2 linked regions of the Oryctolagus cuniculus genome follow. The protein of the gene in region 1 interacts with the protein of each later gene in a biochemical or structural test. Links are inferred from orthologs where the notes say so. Each region holds a gene or a part of one and is shown on either strand. Other genes may lie near its edges.

What was found. The genes of interacting proteins can lie anywhere in the genome.
Region 2: the proteins of TDRD3 (region 1) and TOP3B form a complex in vitro, tested with the Homo sapiens proteins (2 studies listed by BioGRID and IntAct, with this or other methods). The link is inferred for Oryctolagus cuniculus from reciprocal best matches to the Homo sapiens genes TDRD3 and TOP3B.

What each region holds. Positions count from the first base shown.
Region 1 is NC_091440.1:52,155,439-52,162,676, reverse strand, and holds part of TDRD3 (tudor domain-containing protein 3), read left to right. Parts: intron 1-4,027; coding exon 4,028-4,875; intron 4,876-7,238. UniProt on the Homo sapiens protein: Scaffolding protein that specifically recognizes and binds dimethylarginine-containing proteins. Plays a role in the regulation of translation of target mRNAs by binding Arg/Gly-rich motifs (GAR) in dimethylarginine-containing proteins.
Region 2 is NC_091452.1:28,899,517-28,905,520, forward strand, and holds the start of TOP3B (DNA topoisomerase 3-beta-1), read left to right. Parts: upstream 1-3,204; 5' UTR 3,205-3,341; intron 3,342-5,246; exon of another isoform or gene 5,247-5,494; 5' UTR 5,495-5,642; intron 5,643-6,004. UniProt on the Homo sapiens protein: Releases the supercoiling and torsional tension of DNA introduced during the DNA replication and transcription by transiently cleaving and rejoining one strand of the DNA duplex.

The sequences.
Region 1 (7,238 bases):
AAAGATATAAGTTTTTATCTGAAGAATGTTTATATTAAATTTTAAGTGAAAAGGTTAAAATATTTTTGATTTTCTGATGTATACAAAGTTTTCTTAATAATATAATATTGCCTTTATAACAATATTAAAAGGTTCTTCCTGCCTTGTTTTCAATAAGAAAACAAATAAGCAAAAGGATAAATTAAGAGGAAAAAAGCTACATCAAGTTAAGGACTGTAACTAAAGTTGGAGATTGGTGGTAGTGGAAATGTATAAATAGGGAATCATCTTACCATCCTTAATGACTTTTGCTGATGTCATTAGTTAAGTTTATTTATATAATTTCAATACTAATGGTGATAGTCACAGCAATAATGTCAGATAACATTTACTGAAGGCTTGTTAAAGCCAGATACTGTTTTTAATATTTAACATATATTAACCTAGTTAATCCTGTGAGGTGTGCTCTATTATTAGTCCTGTGTTAAAGATGAGACTTGCAAAGTTAAATATTTTGCCTAAGGATATAGAATTAGTAAGTGGCAGACCCATGATATAAACGTATGTGGTCCCTCTCCAGAAGGGTATACCCTATTCTTTATGCTATCTCAAAGTGCCAGTTTGTAGGCCTCTGAATACCATTTCAAATGTCATTAGGTGTTTTAGTTTTTCTTCATTAATGGGAAAGAGATTATAATTTTAGGTCAGGATTCTGACAGTCCTAGTATACAAATGTGAAATAGCATTTGTTATTTCTTCATCTCACTAGAAATTAACAGATGCAGTTTATAAAATTGTAGCTAATGTGTTTTTAGTTACATTCTGTCATGTTTCTAAGATTTTTTTAGTTACATTCTGTCTTGTTTTTCTGGATAGGCAGTTTGGCATAGGGGAAAAATCATGGGCTTTAGCTTCAGTTAGATTTCAATTTCAGTCTGGTTCAACATTTTCTAGCAGGAGCCTTTAATTGAGGTATATTACTTTGTTTCTTTTCTTGTTAAATAAGGATAATAATGTTGCCCTTTTAAAGTGGTTGTAGGAGTACAGGAAATAATGTAGACAAAATACTTGTAACATGGAGTCAGGCACATAGTAAGGTGTTAAGTGTTAACTTCCGTTGGATATCTCAGAATAAAATGAGGATTAGTTAATACCTTGGGAAACAAAATGTACCTTTTTCTATTATAAAATGCAGGGACAACTGCTGATTAATTGAATATTCTGCAAAAAGTATTAGTATTTTAAGATGTGCTGATATCTTCATATATAGACTCTATTTGTGCAATAAATTCATTCTGAGTGATTCTTTCATTTCAAATGGTGATATAACATTGTGGTCAATTATCTTCTAAACATGCCTTTTGAAATTCATGATCTGATTAATAGAAACATTCTATTTCAAGTCACACTAAACGCAGGCAGCATTCTTTGATTTATGTTTTCATTACCTTGATCTTTTAGCTTTTCACAGTCTGTCTGCTTTGTAATCAATTTTTATATCATTTTTACTGATTTTCTTTCCTTTTTTCTGCTATTTAATATTAAATGTTTGTGTTTTTTTTTTCATCTCTTCCCTTTAGATCATTTAAAAAAGAAAAAGATGATGTATTTTCTTTTTTGTTTTTAAATTACAGTGGTGTTTTCTTCTTAAAAACTATTTTATTTTATTTGAAAAGCTAGAAAGAGAGAATCTTTCAATCACTAGATTAATCCCTAAATGGGCTAGTCCTAGGCTAGGCATTTGGGGAATGAACCAGTGGATGGAAGATCTTTCAGTGTCTGACACTTTGTCTTCCTGATTTTCAAATAAAATTCAATCATTTAAAATAAATAAATACAAATACCTTTGTCACAATTTAGTATTTGAGTATATTCTGTTATTTATTAAGTAAATTCCCTCTGTTTCAGAATACTCTTTAACTCTGACTTTATTATGTAATTACCAAAGGTAAAATGCACTGGATTTGAGGAAATCCAAGAATGGTAAAGCATTTAAGAACCTCCCTTTCTTGAGTATGATTTCATTTTGGATTGAAATGGATATATTTGGAAAGTATCTTCTTTTAAAAGTACAGTTTATTTAACTTATTCTTAGGAGGTATTCTTAGTTATTAAAGATAATTTCCTTTATAGACTTTACTCTCAGTATATTATCTATGCATAGTAAAAAAATTAAATATGTTTATTATTGGTAAAATTACTTCTTTCATTCTGTAGTCTAATGTGCACTACTTCAGTAACTGAAAAAGAGGTAAATGGATTTTTTCCTCTACTCTTTTCTTTCTTTCTTTTTTTTTTTTTTTTTGACAGGCAGAGTGGACAGTGAGAGAGAGAGAGAGAGAGAAAGGTCTTCCTTTTGCCGTTGGTTCACTCTCCAATGGCCACCGCGGCCGGCGCATCGTGCTGTTCTGAAGCCAGGAGCCAGGTGCTTCTCCTGGTCTCCCATGAGGTGCAGGGCCCAAGGAGTTGGGCCATCCTCCACTGCCTTCCCGGGCCATAGCAGAGAGCTGGCCTGGAAGAGGGGCAACTGAGACAGAATCCGGTGCCCCGACCGGGTCTAGAACCCGGTGTGCTGGCGCTGCAAGGTGGAGGATTAGCCTATTGAGCCATGGCGCCGGCCTTCCTCTACTGTTTTCTAAAATTGTTTTTTGATAAAAATAATTTGTTCAAAAATTTTTGTTCACTTTTCTAGGACAGTACATTTGATATGAGGGTGATTTGAATGCATAAATGAAGAGATTCAATGTTAGTAACAGTAGTGATTAAAATATACAAAAATTCTTGGATCTGGAACCAAAGGAAGAAAATTGAAAAAAACTTTCCAATACAGTTTCATAGACTCAAAGCACTCCTTAATCCTAAACTGTAGAGTAGGAAATCTTTTATTCATTTATTTTAAAAAAACAGAAGTCAGATTCTTCCATACCTACCAAGCCTAGCTGCACCTTCACTCTCTATGTCTGTTTATCCATTTCCAAGTAGTACCTGCTGTCAATTTGATAGGTCAAGAAAATTTACTTTTTTTGTAATAGGATATCTGATAGACCATAATCTAGATATGGCAGATCTAAAGATACTTCATATCCTTAAAGTTCTCTGCATGGTGGTGATGCTTAAAAAGAACAGAACAGAAAAGAAAAGGTAACTCTGAAAAGCAAAGGTTGACGTGTCCTATGCAGAGATAAAGGCAAACTCAAAGATTTGAGGAGGAACAGTTTTGCAAAGGTCTTTGTCCTTAGTGTGCTGTACATTGAGATTTAATGCTATAACTAGTACTCAAACAGTATTTTTCACTTTATGTTTCTGTGTTGGAGCAAACTGTTGAAATCTTTACTTAATGTATGCTAAACTGATCTTCTGTATATAAAGAGAATCGAAAATGAATCTTGATGTGAAGGGAAGGGGAGAAGGAGTGGGAAAGGGGAGGGTTGCGGGTTGGAGGGACGTTATGGGGGGGAAGCCATTGTAATCAATATTCTGTACTTTGGAAATTTATATTCATCAAATAAAAGTAAAAAAAAAGAATGTGATTGCTAATGATAACTATACATTTCTAAGTTTGAATGAGATTCAAAGAAATGTTGAACAAGGTTGTAGTTGTGCAGTTTCCTAGCCACAGCTGAGTTAGCAGTTTGCATTTCTTTTTCTTTAATGTTTTGAGAAATGGATTACCAGAGTAGATATCTATATAATCATAAGAATGCAAACATGCAGTGATGAAGACAAATAGTTTTTGGTTACCTACTCATTTTTTATAGTTCACATCATTTCTTTACTTCATTAATGAGGCCAACCAGGAAAACATAGGAAATACAGGTCTCTAAGTAACCACAGAGGATTTAGATATTGAGATGGTTCTCTCTGTCTCTCTCACATTAACTCTGCCCGTCAAAAAAAGAAGATATTGAGGTGAGAAAATGGAAGAAGACCTTAAAATAGTAGTAGTTGCATAATTATTTATTATGATGATAATTTTAGGCACTTAAAATGAGTAAGTACTAATATTGTCTTCATTTTAATGTACATATTATATACTTTTACCTTTCAGAGCCTAAGTCACAGCCACAGCAGCTTCATCAGGGTCAACACAGATTGTCAAATACTGAACAAAATGGAGTAAAAGACAATAATCAACCACGACATCTCCTGCGAAATGATACCAGGCAGCCAAGAAATGAAAAACCTCCTCGTTTCCAAAGGGACTCCCAAATTTCAAAGTCAGTATTAGAAAGCAGTTTACCTAGAAACAGAGGTTCTGAAAGACCAAGTACGTCTTCGGGATCTGAATTATGGGCTGAAGAGAGAATCAAGTGTGATCGACCATATTCTAGATACGACAGAACTAAAGATACTTCATATTCTTTAAGTGCTCAGCACAGTGATGTTGCTTTTAAAAAGAGAGATAACTCCATGCAAAGCAGATCAGGAAAAGGTCCATCCTGTGTGGAGGCTAAAGATAATCTACTTCCTCAAGAATCCATAGATTATAATAATCAAAAACGTGGAAAAAGAGAAAACCAAACAGCTAATTCTGACCATTTTTATGACAGGAAATCACGAACAATAAATAATGAAGCTTTCAGTGGTATAAAGATTGAAAAACATTTTAATGTAAATACTGATTACCAGAATCCTGTCCGAAGTAATAGTTTCACTGGTGTTCCAAATGGAGAGACAGAAATGCCACTGAAAGGAAGACGAGTAGGACCTATTAAACCAGCAGGACCCATCACAACTGTACCCTATGATGATAAAATATTTTACAATAGTGGGCCCAAAAGAAGATCTGGGCCAATTAAGCCAGAAAAAGTACTAGAATCTTCTATTCCTTTGGAGTATGCAAAAATGTGGAAACCTGGAGATGAATGTTTTGCTCTTTATTGGGAAGATAACAAGGTATGGGTGCTGTAAAAATATTATATACTAATATTACTAAATGCATCATCCTAGTGAGACTTTATAGAAAGCTATATTTTGAGGCCATGAATTTTGTTCTACAATTGTACCTGTTTTAAATCTTGGAACAGATTTCTAGACATATGATTATAAAGGAGACAGAAAAATATTTAATGTTTTTTATGGGTACTTAGGCAGAATCTGTCTATAAGATTTGTTTACATTAGGTTTGGTTTTAGTTTACATATCTGAAAAGTATTATGAAAGTGATTATGTGAAATTGAACTTTATTTCACTTAGCAGCTAAATTATAAATGTTTGCTTCTGCTCCTAGTAAAATTAAACTGAGTTACAAGGAGGAAAATCAATTCAGTGGCACAAAATGAAATTCTGCAGATTTTTGCTTAAAGAAAACACACACATTCAACCTACTTTAAAAAATTAAGAGCATAAGGGCTGGTGCTGTGTCTCACTTGGCTAATCTTCCACCTGTGGCGCCGGCACCCTGGGTTCTAGTCCCGGTTGGGGCTCTGGATTCTGTCCCGGTTGCTCCTCTTCCAGTCCAGCTCTCTGCTGTGGCCCAGGAAAGCAGTGGAGGATGGCCCAAGTCCTTGGGCCCTGCACCCACATGGGAGACCAGGAAGAAGCACCTGGCTCCTGGCTTTGGATCGGCACAGTGCAGTGGCCGTAGCTTCCATTTGGGGGGTGAACCAATGGCAAAGGAAGACCTTTCTCTCTGTTCTCTCTCTCTCTCACTGTCTAACTGCTTGTCAAAAAAAAAAAAAAAAAAAAGAAAAAGAAAGAAAGAAAACAAAAACAAACAAAAAAAATTAAGAGCATATAAGTTATTTACCTTAAGGTAAATAATTTAATTATTGTTTAATGAATAATTTAAGCATTTTTTAGTTCTACATTACATGGTGACTGAAAGGGAAAGAAGAAAGTATGGGAGTGATGGGGGAGGGACCGGCACATCTATGCATCAAGCAAAAACCAGGACAAGATGTGGAAGACCCACACAATGAGAACAGGAAAAGGAGAAAGCAGTAAGCCTTTGGAGAGAAGGGCCTTTGCACATGTTTACCCTTCTTCCCAACACACTCTTCTGACAACTGTTTTTATTCTTGAGGGCTCAACTCAAACATCATTTCCCAGAAGAAGCCCCTCCCTTCTGCAATATTTTCTTTCTCAATCAGAAACTTCTTCACATTTTAAAACCCGTAACACTTTATATTTTTAGTTTTCATTTTTGAATTTATAAATTCTTTCCTCTACCATATTAAGTTTTCTTTGAAGGCAGGATTATATCTGGTTGTTCTCTGTAGTTCTGCTCTTCCTATAGTATAGAGTTTTCATAATTATATGTTGCCTTTGTTAAGTGGTTAAATGTGGAGGAGGCACTTAAATAGGAAAAAAGAACAGTGGGCTGGCGCTGCGGCTCAATAGGCTAATCCTCCGCCTGCGGCGCCGGCACACCAGGTTCTAGTCCCTGTCGGGGCGCCAGATTCTGTCCCAGTTGCACCTCTTCCAGTCCAGTTCTCTGCTGTGGCTCAGGCGTTCAGTGGAGGATGGCCCAAGTGCTTGGGCCCTGCACCTGCATGGGATATCAGGAGAAGCACCTGGCTCCTGGCTTCGGATCAGCATGGTGCGCTGGCTGCAGCGTGCTGGCTGCAGCGGCCATTGGAGGGTGAACCAACAGCAAAGGAAGACCTTTCTCTCAGTCTCACTCTCACTGTCCACTCTGCCTGTCAAAACAAAACAAAACAAAAAAACAGTGGGGGGCCCTGGTCAAAACAAAACAAAACAAAAAAACAGTGGGGGGCCCTGGAGATATCAGCAGGATAATAAAAACAGATGTAAGCAACTTGGAAAGCAGATACACTTGTCTTTACCATCCAGACTCTTACTCTTTCAACTCAGGCCACTTTCCAAAATTCAAAAACCTTGTGATGTGGGTAGTGGGAGATACCTTATACTTAGCTATGTTGTCCTTGTTGCAGAGTCAAGAAAAAGTGAATAATTGGAGATCATTTATCTATTGAGCCAACAGTGTCCACCTTATAGGGAGTGACTGCTGTGTCTGATGCTTTTGTGAAAGGTTGATTTTGATGAGGATGGAGAAGTTTTATGTGTTGGACAATATAGAGTTGCTGACAAGAGCAGGAGAAAAAGAAATAGGTTAGAGTTCAAGCTCAATAAATTAAAAAAGGCCAGGTAAATGACTCAGACCAAGTCTAAGCGTAGTACCCTGAGTATGAAAGGCAAAACCAAGATGGTTAATCTTTATACATCAAAACAAACCCTGAGGATCAAGGGTATGTGTGTGTATTGTGTTTGTCTGCCAAAACAAAATATAATACTGT
Region 2 (6,004 bases), on another chromosome or scaffold:
GCAGGGCAGGGAGCTCTGGGCCAGGTCCCGATTGGCTACTTTCCAAGACATTCCCTCCTAGCAAGATCATCCTCACAACTCCGAATATGACCTCATTGCCACACACACAGGCGGCAGGCCCCAGCTGTCCAGAAACAGCCAAGGATAACAGCAGGCACCCTGGAATGCTACTCACACCATCACTGCTGGCTCCCTACCTCACACCACATGTGCTGTGGTGTATCAGGTAAAGCCACTGCCTGCTATACCAGCATCCTGTATGGACACCAGTTCAGGTCCCGGCTGCTCTACTTCTGATCCAGCTTCCTTCTGATGGCCTGGGAAAGTAGTGGAGGATGGCCCAAGTGCTTGCACCCCTGTATCCACATAGGCGACCAGCAGGAAGCTCCTAGCTCCTGGCTTCAGTTTGGCCCAGCCCTGGCCATTGCAGCCATTTGGGGAATGAATTGTGGATAGAAGATATCTCTCTCTCTCTCTCTCTCTCTTCATAAAATGAAAAATAAATTATTTTTAAGTTAATTCAAAATGAGTCTACTGCATGTAAGGCCTGGGCAGGGGCTGGAGCCACCAGGCCAGGCCCCTGGGAGCACTGAGAACAGATGCCCAGGTATCCGAGGTACGGTTACCCCTGGGGTCTCAGAGCTGTGCCTGCAGCACCCCACGCTGTCTGAGAGCTTTTTTTTTTTTCTTAAAGGTTTATTTACTTATTTGAAAGGCAGAGATATATAGAGAGAGGAGAGAGATCTTCCATTCACTGGAAGTGACATGGCCACAACGGCCAGGCTGGGCCAGGTTAAAGCTAAGATACAGCAGCTCCTTCCAGGTCTCCCACGTGGGTGCAGGGGCCCAAGCACTTGGCCATCCTCTGCTGCTTTTCCCAGGACATAGCAGAGAGCTGGATCAGAAGCAGAGCAGCCGGGACTCGAACTGGTGACCACATGGGATGCTGGCACTGCAGGCAGAGGCTTAACCTACTGTGCCACAGTGCCAGCCCCATCTCAGAACATATTACAGGTGCTGCCTGCCGACTCGAGCCTTCACCAGCCGGGGCTGGTACCACACACGCACAGGACAGGGCCGATTCAACCCTGCACACTCCAGGCTGCAGCCTCCTTAGCAGAGTGAGGGAGGAGGCCGTGATGGGGACCATGAGAGCCTCGTGTCTCGTTCCCCTCCGGGGCTGAAGCTTCACGGAGGTGACACGGAGGAGAGACGTGACAGATCCGAGCAGCCTTGTCCCCAGCCTGGAGCCCAGCAGGAAAGCCGTGCTGTGTTGCTCAACTCAGAGCCTGGGGACTGAGCTGGGATCCCCACTGGCTGCTTTGGGTGCTTATGGATGCACAGCCTGGGACTGTGTCCTGGCTGAGGCTGGTACCGGGTTGCGGTGTAGCCACAACCATAACCAGACACACTGAGTAGGGAGGAAGAGGAGAGAGAGAAGGCCAAGGCCATGAAGGAGACACCCCAGGGCTCTGCCTCCTGGAGCCCCAGGGTGGGGGAACCGCTCACCCTTAAAACAGGCACCCTGCATACAAATACCTCCCTAAGGCTCCCCGGGAGCATGACCCAGGTGGTGTAGCGTGAGGGCGCAATGGCAAGGATCTCCCGGCAGAGGGCGCAGGGCAGCGGCAGACACCCCGGCCTCCAGAGCGGAGCCCCCCACGCCCCCTGCTGGCCCCTGCGGGAGCTTCATTAACTGCACCCAGGAACTCTGGTTTTGCGCGGCTCAGAGCCCACCTCAGCCGTCACCGCTGTGCTGGGGTAGGGGTCGGCTGAGGCCTGGAGACCTGCAGGCAGCCGGCGGGGCCTGGATCAGGGTGGGGTGACCTCCAGCTCATGTTGAAGACTGGTAAGAGGCCGGCGCCGCGGCTCACTAAGCTAATCCTCCACCTAGCGGCGCCGGCACACCGGGTTCTAGTCCCAGTCGGGGCACCGGATTCTGTCCCGGTTGCCCCTCTTCCAGGCCAGCTCTCTGCTATGGCCCGGGAAGGCAGTGGAGGATGGCCCAAGTGCTTGGGCCCTGCACCCCATGGGAGACCAGGAGAAGCATCTGGCTCCTGCCATCAGATCAGCGCGGTGCACCAGCCGCAGCGCGCCAGCCACGGCAGCCATTGGAGGGTGAACCAACGGCAAAGGAAGACCTTTCTCTCTGTCTCTCTCTCTCTCTCACTGTCCACTCTGCCTGTCAAAAAAAAAAAAAAAAAAGACGGGTGAGGGCCGCATGGACTGATGAGCACCGCGAGAAAATAACGAGGCAATCCGTCCATAATCCTAACACTAACGGTACTTATATCTTTTTCTTAAAAAAATTTTTTTAAAGATTTATTTATGGGGCCAGCGCTGCGTAGCGGGTAAAACTACCGCCTGCATCACCAGCACCCCTTATGGGCGCAGGTTCAAGTCCCAGCTGCTCCACTTCTGATCCAGCTCTCTGCTATGGCCTGGGAAAGCAGTAGAAGATGGCCCAAGTCCTTGGGCCCCTGCACCCACATGGGAGATCTGGAGGAAGCTCCTGGCTCCCGGCTTCAGATCGGTGCAGCTGCAGCCGTTTTGGCCATCTGGGAAGTGAACCAGCGGATGGAAGACCTCTCTCTCTCTCTCTCTCTCACTCAGCCTCTCTGTGTAACTGTGAGTTTCAAATAAATCTAAAAAGAGAATCTTCTGTCCACTGGTTCCCTCCCCGAGATGGCCACAACAGCCAGGGCTGAGCCAGGGCAAAGCCAGGAGCTTCTTCCAGGTCTCCCATGTAGGTGCAGGGCCCAAGGACTTGAGCCATCCTCCACTGCTTTCCCAGGCCACAGCAGAGAGCTGGATTGGAAGTGGGGCAGCCAGGACTCAAACTGTCACCCATATGGATGCCGGCACTGCAGGCGGTCACTTTACCTGCTACGCCACAGCGCCGGACACAAGCACTTTTATCTTCCAGGTGTTCTGCACCCATCATCCGTTCGTGCATCCCACAGACGGTATAGCTTTGACGAAAGCCTGCTGCACACACGTCTGTAGCTTTGTTAGTAACCATCACAATCACTGGCACGATGGCTGTCATGACTGGCTCCCCGTAGCTGAGAAGAATCCGGGTGGAGAGTTTGGGGAGCCCCCTTCGGACAGCGAGCCCCCCGGGAGTCTACGCGAAGCTTTGCGGATCCCCTCAAAGATGGCGGCGGGGATTCGGGGCGGTGCCCCCGGAACGCTCGAGCGCCGGGACCCGCAGACACCGTCGGACGGGGGAATCGGACGGACGCGGGGACGCCCGAAGCGGCCGGACCCGGAAGTCGGGGTTGCAGTGGCCGCCCCTCCCGGGGAGCGGGAGCCGGAGACGAGTCGCGGTGGGGCCACGGGTGAGCAGCGGGCGCCGAGAGGGGCTGCTCGCGGAAGCAGGCAGCGCAGCCTGTCTTCAGGCCGGTGTCCTGAGTGCTGGCCGGGCTGAGGAGAGGGTCCCGGGCCGGGCCTCGCGTTCCCGCTCGCCGGGGTGGTGGCGGGAGGCGGTGATGGGCTGCGCGCTCAGCCTCGCGCTGGGCGGGGGCCGGGCGCTGCGGGCGCTGCCACTGTTCCTCCTGGCGGCCTCCCCCGGCTCGCGGAGGCGAGCGCTTTCTGTCTGAACCTCCCGGGCCGGGAGGCTGTGCCGTGGTCGGCGCCCACTTCCGGGCGGTCTAAGGGACCCGGGTTCTCCGCTCTTTTCGGAGTGAGCAAAGTAGCTGGGGTCCAGGGGCAGTAGTTTGTCGGAGCGGGGGAGGGGATGGCTTCGTCTTGCCCCTTCGCTTCCTCGGCCTGTGGGAATAGGACGCGAAAGGCCAGCCCCACCTGGGCGTCATGGCCACTGAGCACTGGGGGTCCTGTGCCAGGGTCACCGACACTGGCCCCTTTACTCGTGATCTGGAGGGGGAAAAATGTAAAAACTGACAGTCCCTGCCCTTCAGAGTTGTTGGCGAGATTAAATGAAACAGTGTTGATGGCCGTGGCGTGCCCGGCCCAGAGGAGCTTAAGAAAGGGTTGTTCCTTTTCTGATTCTTTGGGTATAGGGTGTGGGGGATACCCTCCCCTGTCCACACTGTGCACTCGAGAGGTGGCCTCAGCGGTCTTGCAAGGTCGGGTGTCCGATGAGCAGGTACACCCAGAGCAGGTACGGCAAGCAAGCTGTGTACTAGCACGCAGGGCCCTCATTGGCTGAGTCCTGCGGGTGTACACTTCCCAGACCTCCCTGCGCTACAGAGTTACCTCCTGCACTCACTGTAGTCTCCCCCTTGGGACTTGGCTACTCCGGAACAACCAGGAGTTTGCCTAGTGAAGTTGCTACCTCTGCAGGTCCCCGCTGTGTTGAAAATGGACCACCAGACCTGCTGGCGAATTCCTCCTCTTTCCATGTTTACACTTTTTCGGTCCCATTTTGACTCCTATTCTTTGTTCTTCAACCGTTTGGCTCAGGACTCCAGCTCAGTTCTGAGAGATGAGGATTGAAGTTACAGCACTGTTCCGTTTTCCACGGTATCCTTCTAGCCAGCCTGTAAGGGGGTCACCAATGCCCGCCTTCCCTGCCGGTTTATTGACTATGTTAGTTAGCCCGTGTGATGGCCCATCAGGATTGTCCTCCTAGTATCCTCTCTCTGAGGGCATCCCGAGAGTATGGGATATTCAGGCATCCCTTATCCAGCGTCCTCCGCCAGCAGCCCATCCCACCTGCCCAAGCCACATTCCACGGCTGCTCTGTAGGTGGGGGAGGGGCCAGAATTATTTTTTAAGACTCTTTCTTCTTTCTTTCTTTTTTTTTTAAGAATTATTTATTTGAAAGAGTTACAGAGAGAGAGAGAGCCAGAGAGAGAAAGGTCGTCCATTTTGCTGGTCCACTCCTCAAATGATCACAATGGAAAGAGCTGAGCTGATCCAAAGCCAGGAGTCAGGAGCTTCTTCCAGGTCTCCCAAGCAGCTGCAGGGGCCCAAGGACTTGGGCCATCTTCCACTGCTTTCCCAGGCCACAGCAGAGGGCTGGATCGGAAGTGGAGCAGCCGGGACTCGAACCAGCACCCACATGGGATGCCGGCACTGCAGTTGGCAGCTTTACCTGCTACACCACAGTGCCGGCCCCTCCCTGATTTGCATTTTTTTAAAAAAAGATATTAGAACCTGCAACCCCCTCCCCCCCAACCCTGACACCATTGGTTTTTCTCTGTGGAGATTCCTGTGCCCTCTGGCTGATGCATCAGGAAAGAGTACATCCGGGTGACTCTCGCATGTCTCTTCCCGTTCAGGCTGCACCATGAAGTTTGTCAAGGGCTCCTGGTGGGACTGACTCAGAAGGACCTCCCAAGCCCCCTGATTCTCATCAGAAGTCAAGAGGGGAGTTGCCTTTTCTTCCTCCTCCCACTCTGGGCTCTGTCTCACGAGATGTCTCATCTTTCCACACCTGTGCCCGTCCACTGATGGTTTTAGGAGCTCCCCTGTGTGTCTCCCTCCTAGCTGTTTGTTTGAAGTGTGAGATTTCTCCATCTTTCCCCAGGGAGATTCTGATGCAGCCTCTTTTTAACCAGCTCTTCTACTGAGCTAGGAACTCCTCGGACGCTTGAGTGTTGTTCGGGCTACCGCCAGGCCTCCACTGGCAGGATCACCCGACCTGGGCATAGACCCGGACGTGAAAGGAGACCCGTGTAAGTGCATTGTCTCCCAGGGGCTCCCTCTGCTGGCGGTGGGCCGAGCACTGGCAGGCTGGCCTGCCGCTCATCCTCCACTCGACTCGAGTCCTAATCCCAGTCCCACTGCGGAATGTTGGATGTCAGCACCCCGTTAGCCCTCGCCTAGCTCCGTCTTGGAAGTAGGAAGTCAGACTGCAGGCTTTGGCCAGCAACAGGATTGAACTCGGTGCACCCTCTGGTTGACCATAAGAGCCAGTTTCTGGCCATTTTGATCCAATTGGGCTTTTTTTTTTTTTCTTTTTTTAAAGGCAGCAGCTCAAGTGAACACTCGTGTTGGTAGAGCAGGAACATGAGCAGGGGAAGTGGATTTCGGAAGC